2 linked regions of the Astyanax mexicanus genome follow. The protein of the gene in region 2 interacts with the protein of the main gene of each other region in a pairwise test. Links are inferred from orthologs where the notes say so. Each region holds a gene or a part of one and is shown on either strand. Other genes may lie near its edges.

Region 1 (7,368 bases), on a different chromosome or scaffold from region 2:
TTTAACTAATTATAATCTCTTCCACCAAATTCCCACATCCCCATTTTTTTTCTATCTGCACTCCAAGGTCTATTGCTCCAAACCCTGACTGCATTTCTCAGCTGTAGGCTGTATAAGAAGAGCCCTTCACTTATGACAGGCTTTTATGACAAAGTGGCTGAGAAATGGAGCCAATCTAGACTTTGGAACGCAGCTTTTCAATATCAAACCAAACCTCATCATATTTGATTCACTGCTCCATTTATAACAAGATGTTTCCAGACGCCATATATCAATCCATCCAAACCAATGAAAAGTCATGTCTACAGAATCCCACAGAAACTACCAAAAAAAAGAGGTCACTTTCTTTCTATAACATTTCTCCTCACCTTGTTGCTACCTGCACTTGATCTTCATGTATCATCTGGTCCCAAGTCCATCATGAAAAGGAAGTACCAAATTACGAAACATACTCATTTTTCCTCGGCACACCACCTCCCACTTCACATGAAACGTTTGAAACCAAACAAACAACATTTTTTACCTCAGTGAAAATTCCCTCACAGTGTTCTTCCTCGTAGGCTAATTTCTTTTCACCGCTTGATCACAAAAATGCTCAAACATCCAGTCTTCCTACACTCAATCCCTCACCATTCTCTACTCCGTGCCACCATTGTTTGCCACTGACTGGCTGTAAAAGACAAAGAGCACTTTTGTTTGGCGTGGTTGTGGTTGGGATTGCTGAAGCAAAATGTGTTTTGCGTCCAGCGGCTGAGCGGCACAAACAATACTCCTGTGGTGTAATGATGTACATATCTCTGAGGACACGGTTTTGATGTGCCAACCGAATTAGACAATTCAGTGATCACTATTTAGCACAGAAACATGTGCTAGAACAGTTACTAGCTAGCTCAGAAATGAGCCCTTTGATTAGGACTAGCCTCTGGAAAGGCCAAGCCTCTAGAAGGTTCAGCTCAATGCTAGCACTGGCTTTTCCTCAAAGCTTGACTTGGGATGTGAAGGTGGAAGATAAGTGCAGGGGGACCACAGCGGAGGGGAGACAGAAAGGAGCAAGTATCTAGCAGCTTTACTTTTTCTGTGAGCCAGAGATAGCAGGCTTTTCTTCTCGAGTGATGGGAATGGAGCGCTCAGGCTCATCGGAGAGCTTGCGAGGGGCTGCAACCATGAGGATGCCATCTGAAGAGAGTGAAGAGGTGATACTGGCTGGGTCGACCCCGAGAGGGAGCCGGTATTTTCGTAGGAACTCTCGTGAGACAAACCCATGGTCATCCTGGAGAAAAAGATATACATTTACAGGCATTAAACAATGAATACTGACTGAAATATGATATTAGAGCAGTGTTAGCCAGACAAAACGCTTACATCAGAAGGTCAATGCTTGTAATAAGAGTGGACCAACTTGACAAAAAGGTTTGTTGGAGAAAAATTGAGAAAAATACCCCTTCCTATACGTAATAATTACAATATTAACTTATCGTATAATGTATGGACATCTGTTTTTGTTTTATTTATGTTTTATTTATTCAAGATATTCTAATTTCATTTCTATTGTCTGAATCATTAACAATTTATTGTTCTTTAAATGGGTTTAATTGCATTATTGTGCTATTCTATCATTATTCTAATCAGTGACATAAAATAGTCATAGAATTACAATAATATTGTTAATTGCACTTCATGGGACAGTATGTTGTCTAATAAAATCTCTTATCTTGACAGGCATACTTTTTTTATGTTTTTCTTGTTTAACCATATTCGATCAATCTAAACTGGTCTAAAATCTATTTAAATTATATTCAATGAATTACATCAAAATAATTAAATTGAATTAAATCTAATTAATTAAATCCAATTAAGTTAAAATTATTAACCAAATTCTGCAAGACAGGGGTACTCCATAACCAGAGTTAGAAACCACTGCTGTTTGTATTTACCTGACGATCCTCGTGTTTAGCATGAACCTCAATGTAACCGCCGTTGACCTTAACTGCCAATTCCTCAGGTGCAAAGTGTTTTACATCCAAATTGATGGTAAAACGGTCCTTTTCCATTTTCATCTATAAAAGACAGCACAAAACATGAATGTGTTTTGATTTCCAGTATTCAGTTTTATGTAGCTTAAGTGCTCCCTTCCAATTTTAAAACACAGTTTACATAATCATGATTACATGATTTGCTAGAAATAACAAGACATTGTTTAGAACTTAACATTATAATATTGTATGGCAGGGTTATTCTGTATGTGGACTACTGTTGTTTTTATTGTGGATATAGTACAAAATAAAAAAATATATAAACTTTTTGTATGCAAAAAACTGTTATCTGTTTTCTTTTCTTGCTCTTTAGTGACAGAGATGGAAAGGACTTCTATTACAGGGAAATCACTGAGCCTTCCAGCAGCAACATGTGCTCATCACCAAACATATTGATAAAATGGCATCTTTAAAATTGCTTCTTGCAAGGAAAAGTTGACAATGAACACCCTTTAAACTTGCCTGAGAAAAGCACAAAATAATTGTGCTTAATTTATTGTAATCAAGGCCACTGTAAGAGGAGTAATATGAGGTGACAACAAAACTACTCACAGAACACACATTTATATTGCTCATTTGTCCTGCATGGTCCTTCAGAGCAGTGGGAATGTTGTAAGATACACATTTTAATTTTCCTGTTGTAGGGTTTCTTAAGCTGTCTTCTAGATTAATGGTAATTCACCTCCAGGCAGGGAGCTCAGAATCCACAAAAGCAACCTTCTCAAATAACTTTTCCTTATTAGTCCCTGTGTCATTTATTAAGAGAACACCACTGGCAACACCGTTCTCCAGTATGGGGTTCTCCAGCCGAGGTTACCCTTTTGCCGTACATTACGTAGATTTATAGAGTTATAGAGTTATAGAATGTACCATGGAGAAATACACAGATGTCAGAGCTGCTTACCTCTGATAGCCCACTTTCCACCCAACTAGGTAAGCGGAAGAAAGAGGGTCGTGGGTAATACAATGAGGGGTAGGGGGTCAACATCTCACTCTCTGGGATATGCTCCCCGAAATGCTGGTCGAAGATCCGGCTGGGGAAGAAGGATGGCCAGAAAGAGCGGCGGAACCAGGGATGCTGGATGGCGACGTCCATTTCGTCTTCTGACCTAAGGCTAGCGTTGTCCTCCTGGAGAAAAACCTGTTGTCTGCCCAGCCTGCCCACTTATATACACCACCAGTAGCAGTCACAGAGCCAGGCCCAGCCAGCTGCGGATCTTTCTGGAACAATGATGTAAACTGTTTGATGGCCCCCCTTTCGTTGCGTCCCTCCCACTCTCCTCTGCAAGCTGTCTCATCCCTCTCTACCAGATACCTCTCTCCGTATTTATCTAAACCGGTGGTGTGATTTCATTCAGGCAGATGCCGGCCGGATTACAGGGCTTGCTCTGAATACCCATTTGGAAACTTTGCCATACAGAATCTAATGGGAGGTGCTGAGTGTAGCCTTTGGTTTTTTGGCTTTTCTGGCACAAAAACTGTGGACCAAGCAGCCTAGCTGTGTGCCAGAGCAGATTATCATGTTCATGTCCTGATTTGGCTTTATGTAGTTTGAGGTCTGAACCCCCTTTGAGGGTCTTTTGTCTTCGGCAGAACACCGGGCGCGAGGCCAGTTTGTTCGGTGGGCTGATGGTGAATGGTTGTGGGATCATTCTGCAGGGTTGAGCACCATACAGAGTCAATGTGCTTGCAAAGAAGCATTTCCCTGGTGCCCGCCAGCCTCAGCGGGCTTAGTCAAACTGGCACAAGCACCCGGCACAGTGCCACTTACGCAGTCGGCATAGCAGCACAGTCCGTCATCAGTCATCTCCTACCCACTCTGGCCTACCCACTCTCAGTGGCTGGTAATGATTGTGACCGGCAGTGTCTGGCTAGAATTGTCTATGTGTACATACACGCGTCTCTGGTAGAAACCCATTCAATGCAGGAGACCTACACACATATACTACAGGGCAGGGCAGGAGTCTTTAGCTTTCATGGTACATTAAACTAGTTATTGTTCCATGACTTATTGTATATTCTATTGAATATTATGCAGAATTCTAGATATGCACCGACATAACATTGACAGTACCCTTGGGTATTTAACTGACTTCCTGACCTTTTCACTTTTATGTGTATATGTGGCTGCCCCAAGTTGACAACTCATCCATTAACTCCAATGAGTCTCAGAACAGCTGCTAATTTACTTTCCTTTAGAAGAAAGCCAACCACTCTGAATAAAGAGACCCAAAACACTGCCCAGAATTATATCACTCAGTGTGTCTCCCCCTTTAGGCTATGCAACACCAGCGTGTGTGTGCGCCACAGGCTATTTCTGGACCCGTTTATTACCAAGGTCCAGGCACTAGGGCACAGACTTGCTGCCTCTCTTTTCTCTGTACTCTCCATTACAATCCTGCCTGTTTGTTGTACCTGAAAGGACTGCTACATTTTCACCAGCACTGGACACCCGGCCCATGCTTTAGCATGGCTGACCGCACCGTTCCCCATGCTTACCCCATGAGTATGAACTATGAGATGTGTACTCCTGCACGGATTTATGACCAGAACTTTGCAGAAGGTAAGAGAATCTTCAATCAAAAGTCAAGCTCACTTGTATTCAGATTGCTATGCTATTTGGAGGGAAGATAAAAGCTGCCAGCAACAATACATGATTGCAAATTAAGACGTGGATTAAGATGTGGGAAGTATTTATTGAGCTACACATATTGAAGTAGTGTGTAATGCATGTGTAATGTGTAAACAAGCCAGACGTCTCCTAACAGTCTCCTGCAATAAACTATTCCATGCAGCTTAAATTTTAACAATATTTCAACAAATTTTGCAGAAGAGGTGGAGTTTATAGCATGTTCAATAGAATTCCACACATTTTTAATCAAGGATAGGTCTGGTGTTGTGTTTTTTTTTTTTGGAAATCTCTTAAAATGGCAGTAGAATATGAATGAGCATTGTTCTGTTGAACCGCAGGGTGCATTCTGAAAAGGTATTGGCCACTGGTTGAAGGACGTTATTAATGTAACCCTGGGCATTTAAAACTGACTGTAGAGGTGTTCTGGTGACACCAGGCCCTATAGATGTGCAACACATGACAGCAAACTGTTGATCTTGGCACTTTCCACACATACGTTGGTTATCTCCATCCTTCAGCCTGTCACAACTACCCGCCAAATTTTCTTCCTGTCAGTTAATTCCTTCTGGGCGCAACTATGATAAGTGTCTTATAAATCCAGATAAATTGCTTCAAGGTGTTCTATCAATGGCATTATTTTTCATTCACAAGATATGGGCTACTCAATAATATCTTTAAACCAACAACAGCTGAAGAAAAAGTTTCTCTTTCATTTTGAATAAGAAAAAATTTTACTTTTTTAAACTGCATGAACTGCCCTACTTCTTCAACAGCAGACTTGTGATATCAGAGGATGAAGTTAACATGAGTTGTTTAATTGCCAATGAACCTGCACTAGAAGGGCCAACTGAAGTGATGACTGCCTGATCCACTATCCCCCATGACAGCTTTTTATACTGGAGGGAAATATAAGGCCCAGGCTAGGATTTATATTTAGAATACCACACATGACAAAGAGTCCAAGGCTACCACACAAAAATAACTGTCATCCACTGCTGGACTGAATATGAACCAATATCTCATATCCAGCACTGAGCAACCACAGTGTGTGTCATTAATGGTAGTATATATACATGAAGATAAGGGCGCAGTATATGATCAAAATAAAAACATGACGCTTGACCTGCGCTGCTGACACTGTTTGTAATTAGACCTGATGTAAGAGTTTCTGGTGTTTTATAGAGGGGAGGGACGTTCTATTTTTATGGTACTGTCAGGCAAACTCTATGAGGAAGTGAACTCAGTTAGTAGATTAACAAAAATCTAGATATGCACAATGATATCAGAAGAAGAATTATGTATTGCTTAAAACTGCTTTAAATGTTATGTCCACACCAGAGAGATGTTTAGACGTAACTGATATTTTAAAATTATATTGATCAGCATTTGAACAACTTAACTGCATTTGTAACACTACACAATTCAGTTGGGACAGTATACAGAATGCAAATAATAATAAAACACTGTGTTTCTTACATTTACAATTTTAATTGCATTACAATATGAACTGCTCAACTTCATTTCATGTATTAATGTACAGCTCTGGAAACAAATTAAGAGACAACTTCAGTTTTTTAAATCAGTTTCTCTGATTTTGCTATTAATAGGTTTATGTATGAGTAAAATGAACATTGTTTTATTCTATAAACTATGGACAACATTTCTCCCAAATTCCAATGAAAAATTATGTCATTTAGAGCATTTATTTGCAGAAAATGAGAAATGGCTGAAATAACAACAAAAATGCAGAGCTTTCAGACCTCAAATAATGCAAATAAAACAAGTTCATATTCAGAGTTTAGAAATCAATGTTTGGTGGAATAACCCTAGTTTTTTAATCACAGTTTTCATGCATCTTGGCATAACTTGGATAACTTTATGCCACTCCTGGTGCAAAAATTCAAGCAGTTCAGCTTGGTTTGATGGCTTCATCCATCTTTCTCTTGATTATATTCCAGAGGTTTTCAATTTGGTAAAATCAAAGAAACTCATCATTTTTAAGTGGTCTCATATTTTTTTCCAGAGCTGTACATCTATTTCTGTGTTTTAGTCCTGTAACACATTCCACAGAAGTTGCGACATTAAGACATTTACCGCTTTGCAACATTGCCATTCCTTCTCACAATATTTAAAAGACGTTTTGGCACTGGGCATAGCAAGCAATTAAATGGCATTATTTTGGTTAATTCTTGTTGCAACAATATCTTAAGACGTCTAACAGTAAATGGTCATCATTTTTGCATTTTTCTTTTAATTTTTTTTCTCACATTTTGTATTGTGGTCAAGGCAGTCCAGCACGATACCCTCTTATTCTGCACCCATGCCTTTGTTATGTGTGCAGCATAAGGTTTTGCATTGTCATGCAATGCATGGATGTCCCTTGGTATGTGTCGCAGGCCTGAAATGCAGGAATGGGTGTATATTAACAAATTAAATAAATATGACTACAGTGAAATAAATGCAAAGTAAAGAAAACTTTCTTGTTTTATAAGCATTTCCCATACTGTGAGAACTTTTGCCTGATCTGATGATGTAGTAGGAAAATCAGAATACTGTTCTGATTAGGGGTGTGACATATTGTATCGTAGACAATAATATTGCTAATATTTTTGAATATGGTGAACGATATTATACCCTGAAATATCATGCCATATTACCCACTCCTAATTATGACATCAAGGTGCTACTTTTTGCTGTTTTTAA
Region 2 (7,055 bases):
TTCTAATGACAGTTTGTGTTGAAACACTCTGTATGACTTCAGTATAGGCCTGTCACAATAATTATGTTATAGTCTTATCGCAAAATATATGGACATAAGCTCTATAATTTCAGTTGACATCGATATTGCCCATGGTGTTTACTAACGAGGATGGCACATTAACATCACTGCGCCTATATGGGTTTTATTTAATTTATGTTTTATTAATGATCTTATCTTGATATTTAAAAGGGAGTAACTGATTTAAAGTGGTCCAGATGCTGCCAAAATGATCTGAGATCACCAGTTTGAATCCTGAGTTAGGAGGTGTGTGCTAACCTTTGCCCTCTTAGTGCTATGTGTCCTTTGTGGGATCACAAAAACAATTAATTCAAAATAGGCTGTTTTTTCAACTAAGTTTGTATATTTATATATTAATGAAGAGTGAAATCTCTGTATAAAATGTGTGACATTACCAAGAACCAAATATCAAATTATTAAAATGCAATACTTTAAATACTTTAAAACATTTTAGACAGTATAGCTATATATTTTTATATATAGAATGATTACAACAATATTTAATATTATATTGCTCCATGATGCAGGTTTTGGGATGTTTAATGTTTAGTTTTCATTTTTTTTGTTTACAGTTCTGCTCATCATTTCTAAGTCATCTATCTCCTAAATCACCTTTTCAGCAATTATTTAAAGCTAGTAAACAGTACAGGATAGTACAGGAAGATGATAAATCCTGCACCTAACTACTGGAGTTCTACATAGGGTTCATTCCTTTACCCAATACTCTATACTGCCAATCGCTTATCTATAACTACATGACAATAACAAGACCCTCCACCTGATCCAATCCACAACATTTAATACTAACACAAAACACCTAACCATCCTTTCATCCATACACTTATCATCCATTATGCCGCAAGCTCATCACAGTTGTCATCAGGTAGGCACCTCCCTTCATCAGTGCTTTGCTAAACTAGGCCCACAACAGTCTGGGGTCCCAGATTTGCCCCCCCTCCTGGCCCACTACGTAACTTTTTAGCCTATTGGTAATATAAAAAATCATTGTCAGCATTGGCAGATTTGGAATAGAGGTATACATACACACAGAACACACACACCCTCACAGAAGGAATATGAGATAAGAAGGAATGGCACTGACCCCACTGTAGGAAGCGGCTGATGTATTTTTCTCTGGATGGGCTGGAAGACTGGAATTCCTGGTAGACGCCCACCAACAGGTCCAGTAGTGTCTGTAGGCCTACCGGGCCCGAGGCCCCACCCTCCCCAGCACCTCCAGACTCCCTCAGCACCTTCTCCCTTGGCACAGGGGCCTCTCGGGGCCCTGGGCCCGATGACATGGTGGCAGAGCACAGCTGAGGAGCTGCGTTCAGCCCCAGCTCTGATCCATATTAACCCCTGAAGAAATAGTGTCTGTTCCTGTTCCCACTGACCATAAATCTAACCCTACACTAACCCTAACTGTAACACACACTCTAATACACACACTTACATAGGCCTGAGTGCACCCTGTCCTCTGCTGTCCCACAGATGCTTAAGGTTTTAATGCCCCTCACAAATCAGTCTGCGTGTTTCTCTGTTTCTGTCTCTCTCTCTCGTTCTCGCCTTATTCTTCTCACCCCGTGTCTGTGAGTTTGTCAAGCAAGCAGTGATTCCAGTGCTGGCTCAAGCCCTTTTTTGGTGTGTCTCCCTCTCTCTCTCTTACTCTCCCTCGCTCTCTCTCTCTCTGTGGCTTTCTCTAGTGTTCTCTATTCTCTCTCCACCTTCCTCTCTCTTTCAGGTGCTGCTATTGTAATACACTAACCAGCTCTTCAGTTCCTGATTTGTCTCAGTTCCTCTTTCGGTACGGCTGCCTAACTTACTAACCTCTCACACTTTCCCAGCTGAAGTACAGGGGTCCATACAAATTCTGAGGAGACCCCAAAGCCTGGAGACCACTTTCCGATCCAGACGCCCACTTCATCCCATCCCTCCTTCATCAGTGTCCTCAACCCCGGTCCATGTGTTTCCTCTGTGTGGAGGCTCTGTCCTGACCAGCAACAGCTGCTGTGCTTGATTCTCTCTCCGAGGGTGGAACTCTCTCTCTTTCCTCTCTACTTGTTGCCCTCCCTCTGTTGTACTTTTCTACAGCACATTGCCTCCTCACCCCTCCTCTAGCTTTCCTCTGTTTATTAATACTCGCTGCCAGTTCCATGCACTCTCTCTGTGCTTATTCTCTTTCTCTTTTTCACCCCTCTAGATCAGGAAGCATCGTGGTTGGGCTCTTCTATGACTCTGAATCATTTTACATCACATCTGATGATGTTTGCATTTGATTGGTTGACAATACTTTGGTGTTTAGACAACGGACATGTAAAGGAGAATGATAGGGCAGACTATAAAAAGCAAATATTTACTTATTGCAGACTGTAGGTTTGTAATCTGTTTCTATGAATACTTTTTAGCCTCTTTTTACACTGTTCTTAGTTTTTCAATTGTCAGGACCACCACCAAGCAGGTATTATAGAGGTGGTGGATAATTCTCATTCTGACACTGACACAGCAGTGTCCAAAAGATTTCACAGGATTTTTGTGCCCAGAAATCTTTGCTCATTAAAATGAGATCTTACCCAAAACCGTACCTAATTAACATGTACAGCCCAATATTGTGTCTGTTTATTTTGTTCACAATTTTGTAGACACATTGCAGATAAATTTGAGTAAATTTAATGAGACTCTTGCCCAGAAATCTAATAAATAAATACATTCCTATATTAATAAAGTTGGTTTTAGAGACACCGTGCAGCAGTGAATTTAGTTTAGAAAACATCAGCCATTTGTTTGGGAATGGGCAAGTATTAAACCGCTAATACAATAACCTATACCAATAATGGTGGCTAGTTAGCTAGCTATGCAGTAGGACATACACAATAAATGTTGCTAAATTTATTAGGCAACAAGCTAACTACCTGAAACTGTAGGTTTTCACATTAAATGGCTTATTTGTCCAAGCTAGATTCGGCAGCTAGACCTTAGCTTGCTGGTGCACGAAGGCTAACTACCTGTTGTCTAGTCGGCGTTGTAGCTGGTTCCCGGGGTCACTAACGGCGCTTGCCTAATGCTCCAAGCCCGGCCAGCGGAGCCGAAATTACCGCTAGCCTGACGCTCTAAACCTTGTCGGCATTGGTCATGCTGCAAGCTTGCGCAATACTAATGCCGCTACCCCGGCGCTCCGTTCGGTGGGGTTACAAATGCGGTGGGGTTACAGATGCTCCAAGCCCGGTGGGTGGCGCCTTTAGGTAGCTAGCCCAGTGCTAGGTAGCCAGTCACTAATACCCCAGCGCTCCTAGCCCGGTGGGTGGGTCGCTAATGCCGCTTGCCCAACGCTAGCTAGCAGGCCAGGTCGGCGGCGCAGCTAATACCGCTAGCCCAACGCGATTGTTGGGCTACACCAGCGCTCCAATATCGGCGTCGCTAATGCCGCTTCGTGCTCGCTTCAAGCAATAGAATCGCCTCCGACGCTAACAGTATTATTTGGGTGGTGGATCTCAGCACTGCAGTGACACTGACATGTTTTTTTAATACTTTTTCAAGAAATAAATTCTTACTCTTATTATTCTTACTGTAGAAACATCTTAACATTACTGACTGGAGAAACATATTTTGACATACAATTTGCCATTTTTCTTAGGAATAAAAAATAATATTTTTATTAATATCAGTTTAAAATTTGTAGTAAAAACACTCAGAGTGGTAGCACACTTTGATAAGGTAATCAAGGTTCCTTCAATGAAAATATTGTCAACTTTATTAGCGACTAGACATACAGACATTAACAGAACAAACTGTGATTTCAAACAACTTGTATTAAGCTAAGCTGACATTGTATTAAGCTAAGCTAAGTTAAATTGTGAACAACAGACACCAAAGCATACAGCTGGGCATCTGGGCAGTACATTCTATTTGATGCCTGCCATTCGGTATGGTGACCTTAGGCTCATGTGTGACCTTTCTGTTCTCTTTTATTGACCATGCATGTCTGAATATTAAAAGATAGTATTTTGAAAAGGCATTTATTTTTGGAGAATAGGAGCTATCCAGAAATCCTTAGTTTTGCTAGCCAAGTCTCTGTTGACATTCTAAGTTGACATTTTAACGTCCGCTGAAAATGAATCTCAATGAAGCATTCCTTTGGCAGTGATTCCACTCAACTTAACATTGTTTTGAAGGAGACTATGATTTTGTTGTTTTATGTTTTTTTTTTTTTAAACAAATCTCACTGAAAGCGATTACATTAATCTAATATTTTTACAGGTAATATATTTTGTAAAGGTAACATTAAACCACCTTGAATTACACGGGATAAGAGGTTACATGGGATTTCTAATTTAGGCAACATCAGTTTGTATTTTTAATAATTAAAAAAACTTTTAATGAGATTTTCTATAAAAAAAAAGATTACATTTCGATTTACTGTAAGCTTATTTGCTTAAAAGTGACAGAGCTCTAAAACTGAATAAAAAAGGACTAAAACTGGCAAGAAAGCTGATGAGATATTTTTATTTAAGAGTGATTTTACCTTCATGAAAATGTTCTGTTTTGTCCATAGACCTATTCTAACTTGTGCAAAAAGAGGTAAAATATGTCCCCTTTAATTAGTTGTGTAATGGAAATGTATTAAATATTTTTGTGCAGAGATACTAATCTTGATATGATCTTATATCTTATGCCCTTTCAGGTTCTCCATAACTTCCAGCACCCTTGAACTTGAACCCCTGGCTTGGGGAGACAATAGTGAATCATATGCTGCCTGAATGGTGTATTGATGCCATCTACAGGGCAGAAAGGGTAATAAGCTTAAGTTTTCCCTTTATATATTTGAGGCAGTTACCTCATAATGCAGATCAGATAATTAGATACTTATCCTGACTATCCCTAGATAATTATTCTGACATAATTAATTAAAGGAAAAACTAATTTCCTAACTTAAAAGTGCACCTACTACTGATTAAAGGAGTTTGGTTGTGCAAAAAAAATGCAGCTTTCCAAAATATTTTGTCTACAGTTGCAAATATGGACGTCAGTGATGGGTCCCACCAGGGTTTTAGATGGGACAAGGAGGGGTTAAAATGGCCCCCCTCTGAGTTGTACTCTACACATGGGGCCTAGAAGTGACCCATGGAAAATTAAACTGGGCTGTCATGACTGTGGACAAATTTGGGAAACCCAACTGGTACCCAGTAACGTCACATACGCAAACCAACTCTGCGCCCATGTCCACCTGGAACCCACCTAGCCCATGTTCCAACAATGTGAGCCTCACAAAAGCATGTTGTATAGGTTGTATAAACTCCATAGAAAAATATTGCTTATTAGACAGTAATACTTTGGAGCAGCAATGGGCCAACATTAGCCTAAAGCTGCGATGCCCAATGCCAAGTGCCCAGTGCCAAGTGCCCAAGTTTGGGTTTCTGGAATTAGCATCCTTATCCTGCCTCACTGTGGGTTGGTACTAAGTATCTATGCAGGAGATGCGTACGTTGGTCTCGGTGTGGCGTCATTTGGAAGTCTTTAATTACATGAGACGGAGAGCTTATAGGATCAACAGGGACAGAGTGTGAAAGGAGGGGTAGAGAGGGAGGGAGAGAGAGAGAGACAGATAGAGATAGAAAGAGAGAAACAATAGCCTACAAGCTGAGAAGCATTACGACATTGGCTGGGCTGTGTTGGCTGGAGGTCAGCAGTCTCTTGTGGATAACGCTTGGCTGTTTGACAGTGTTTTCAGAATAAAAGGTGCTACAGCAGCAGCAGGACTGACAGAGTTGCTTTCAGAGCTTCTGGAGTCTGAGAATAAACCAGTACAGGTGAGTACAAAGACACACACACTTAAAATAAAATGGACCTTAATTACAGCACAGTTGTTGTTTTAGTACATAACTTTAAATACGAGTGCATTACATTTACACAATCACATATAGTTTGTTTTCTGGGAACTAAACATATGTTTTCATTAAAGTGTAAAGTTTCATTAAATGTAAAATTCATTACATGTTTATTGCTGAATAATGCTCTGTATTACCAAGGCCTTCTACACAATAACAACCTTAACAATATATGACTTGTAGTAACATGTAGAACCATGTAGTAACAGGCAATTGAATTGGATTTATTCAACACAAATACTTTCCTTAAATTTAGTAATGTTTTATTTGTAGCATTAATTTCAGTTAAATAAACACAAATTACTGTTTTTATTATTAATATATGCATATATGTTTTGGATGAACAGATAAACCATTTTTACAGTGTAGAATAGGAGTGTGTCAGATGATTATTTTCCAAAACTGTGTTTTTCTGATAACAGATAAGCCAAAATTCAATCATGGATTGTCTTAGACTAGGTTATCCAGGCTTTACTGAGAAAATCCTGCTTTATGAAAAGCCACAGAATAAAAACACTGTATAAAACAATGAAACTGTTGGTGAATTGTCCTAGAAATGATACTCTGGAACTAAATTTGGGAATAGCATTTTTGATGAATTGTGTTGGTAAGGAATGTCACTGCTTGGGAATTCCTTTTTGAGGAACACGTAATGACTGACCATTGTTGGGGACTTGTAGTGATAAGGAAGGATGTGAAACATTGTGTGGAATAGCAGTGTTAGGCAATTGCAGTGATAAGGAAGCTTGCGGTGGAAGTTTGTTTGTAAGGAATAGCATTGTTGGGGAAATTGTATTGTTGAGGAATGTCAATGGGGAGGATTTTAGTAGTAAGGTATAACTGACTATTGTTGGGGAATTTACCTGAGTAAATAATGTAATTGGTTAACATCTTATGCCCATGATTTTATTACTCCCGAAGGACTACTAGTACGTAAACAAGATGCAAAGCGATACAATGCAACTAACTCAAAACAGCCAGAAACCATCATTAGTTTAAAGGGGTTTAGGTTGTTAAAATATATACAGCTTTTAGGAACTTTCTTGATAATAAATAATTTTAATGGATAATTGTCACAGTATAAACTGACAGTAATAGGGAATAGTCTTATAA

The links.
Region 1: the proteins of myotonin-protein kinase (region 2) and hspb2 interact in a two-hybrid assay, tested with the Homo sapiens proteins (2 studies listed by BioGRID). The link is inferred for Astyanax mexicanus from reciprocal best matches to the Homo sapiens genes DMPK and HSPB2.

What each region holds. Positions count from the first base shown.
Region 1 is NC_064408.1:26,484,906-26,492,273, reverse strand, and holds the start of hspb2 (heat shock protein beta-2), read left to right. Parts: upstream 1-4,349; 5' UTR 4,350-4,502; coding exon 4,503-4,596; intron 4,597-7,368. Other genes in the region: cryabb (crystallin, alpha B, b), read right to left, coding at 1,067-1,270, 1,935-2,057, 2,938-3,129. UniProt on the Homo sapiens protein: May regulate the kinase DMPK.
Region 2 is NC_064427.1:29,513,370-29,520,424, reverse strand, and holds the start of myotonin-protein kinase, read right to left. Parts: upstream 3,025-7,055; 5' UTR 1,362-3,024; coding exon 1,163-1,361; intron 1-1,162. UniProt on the Homo sapiens protein: Non-receptor serine/threonine protein kinase which is necessary for the maintenance of skeletal muscle structure and function.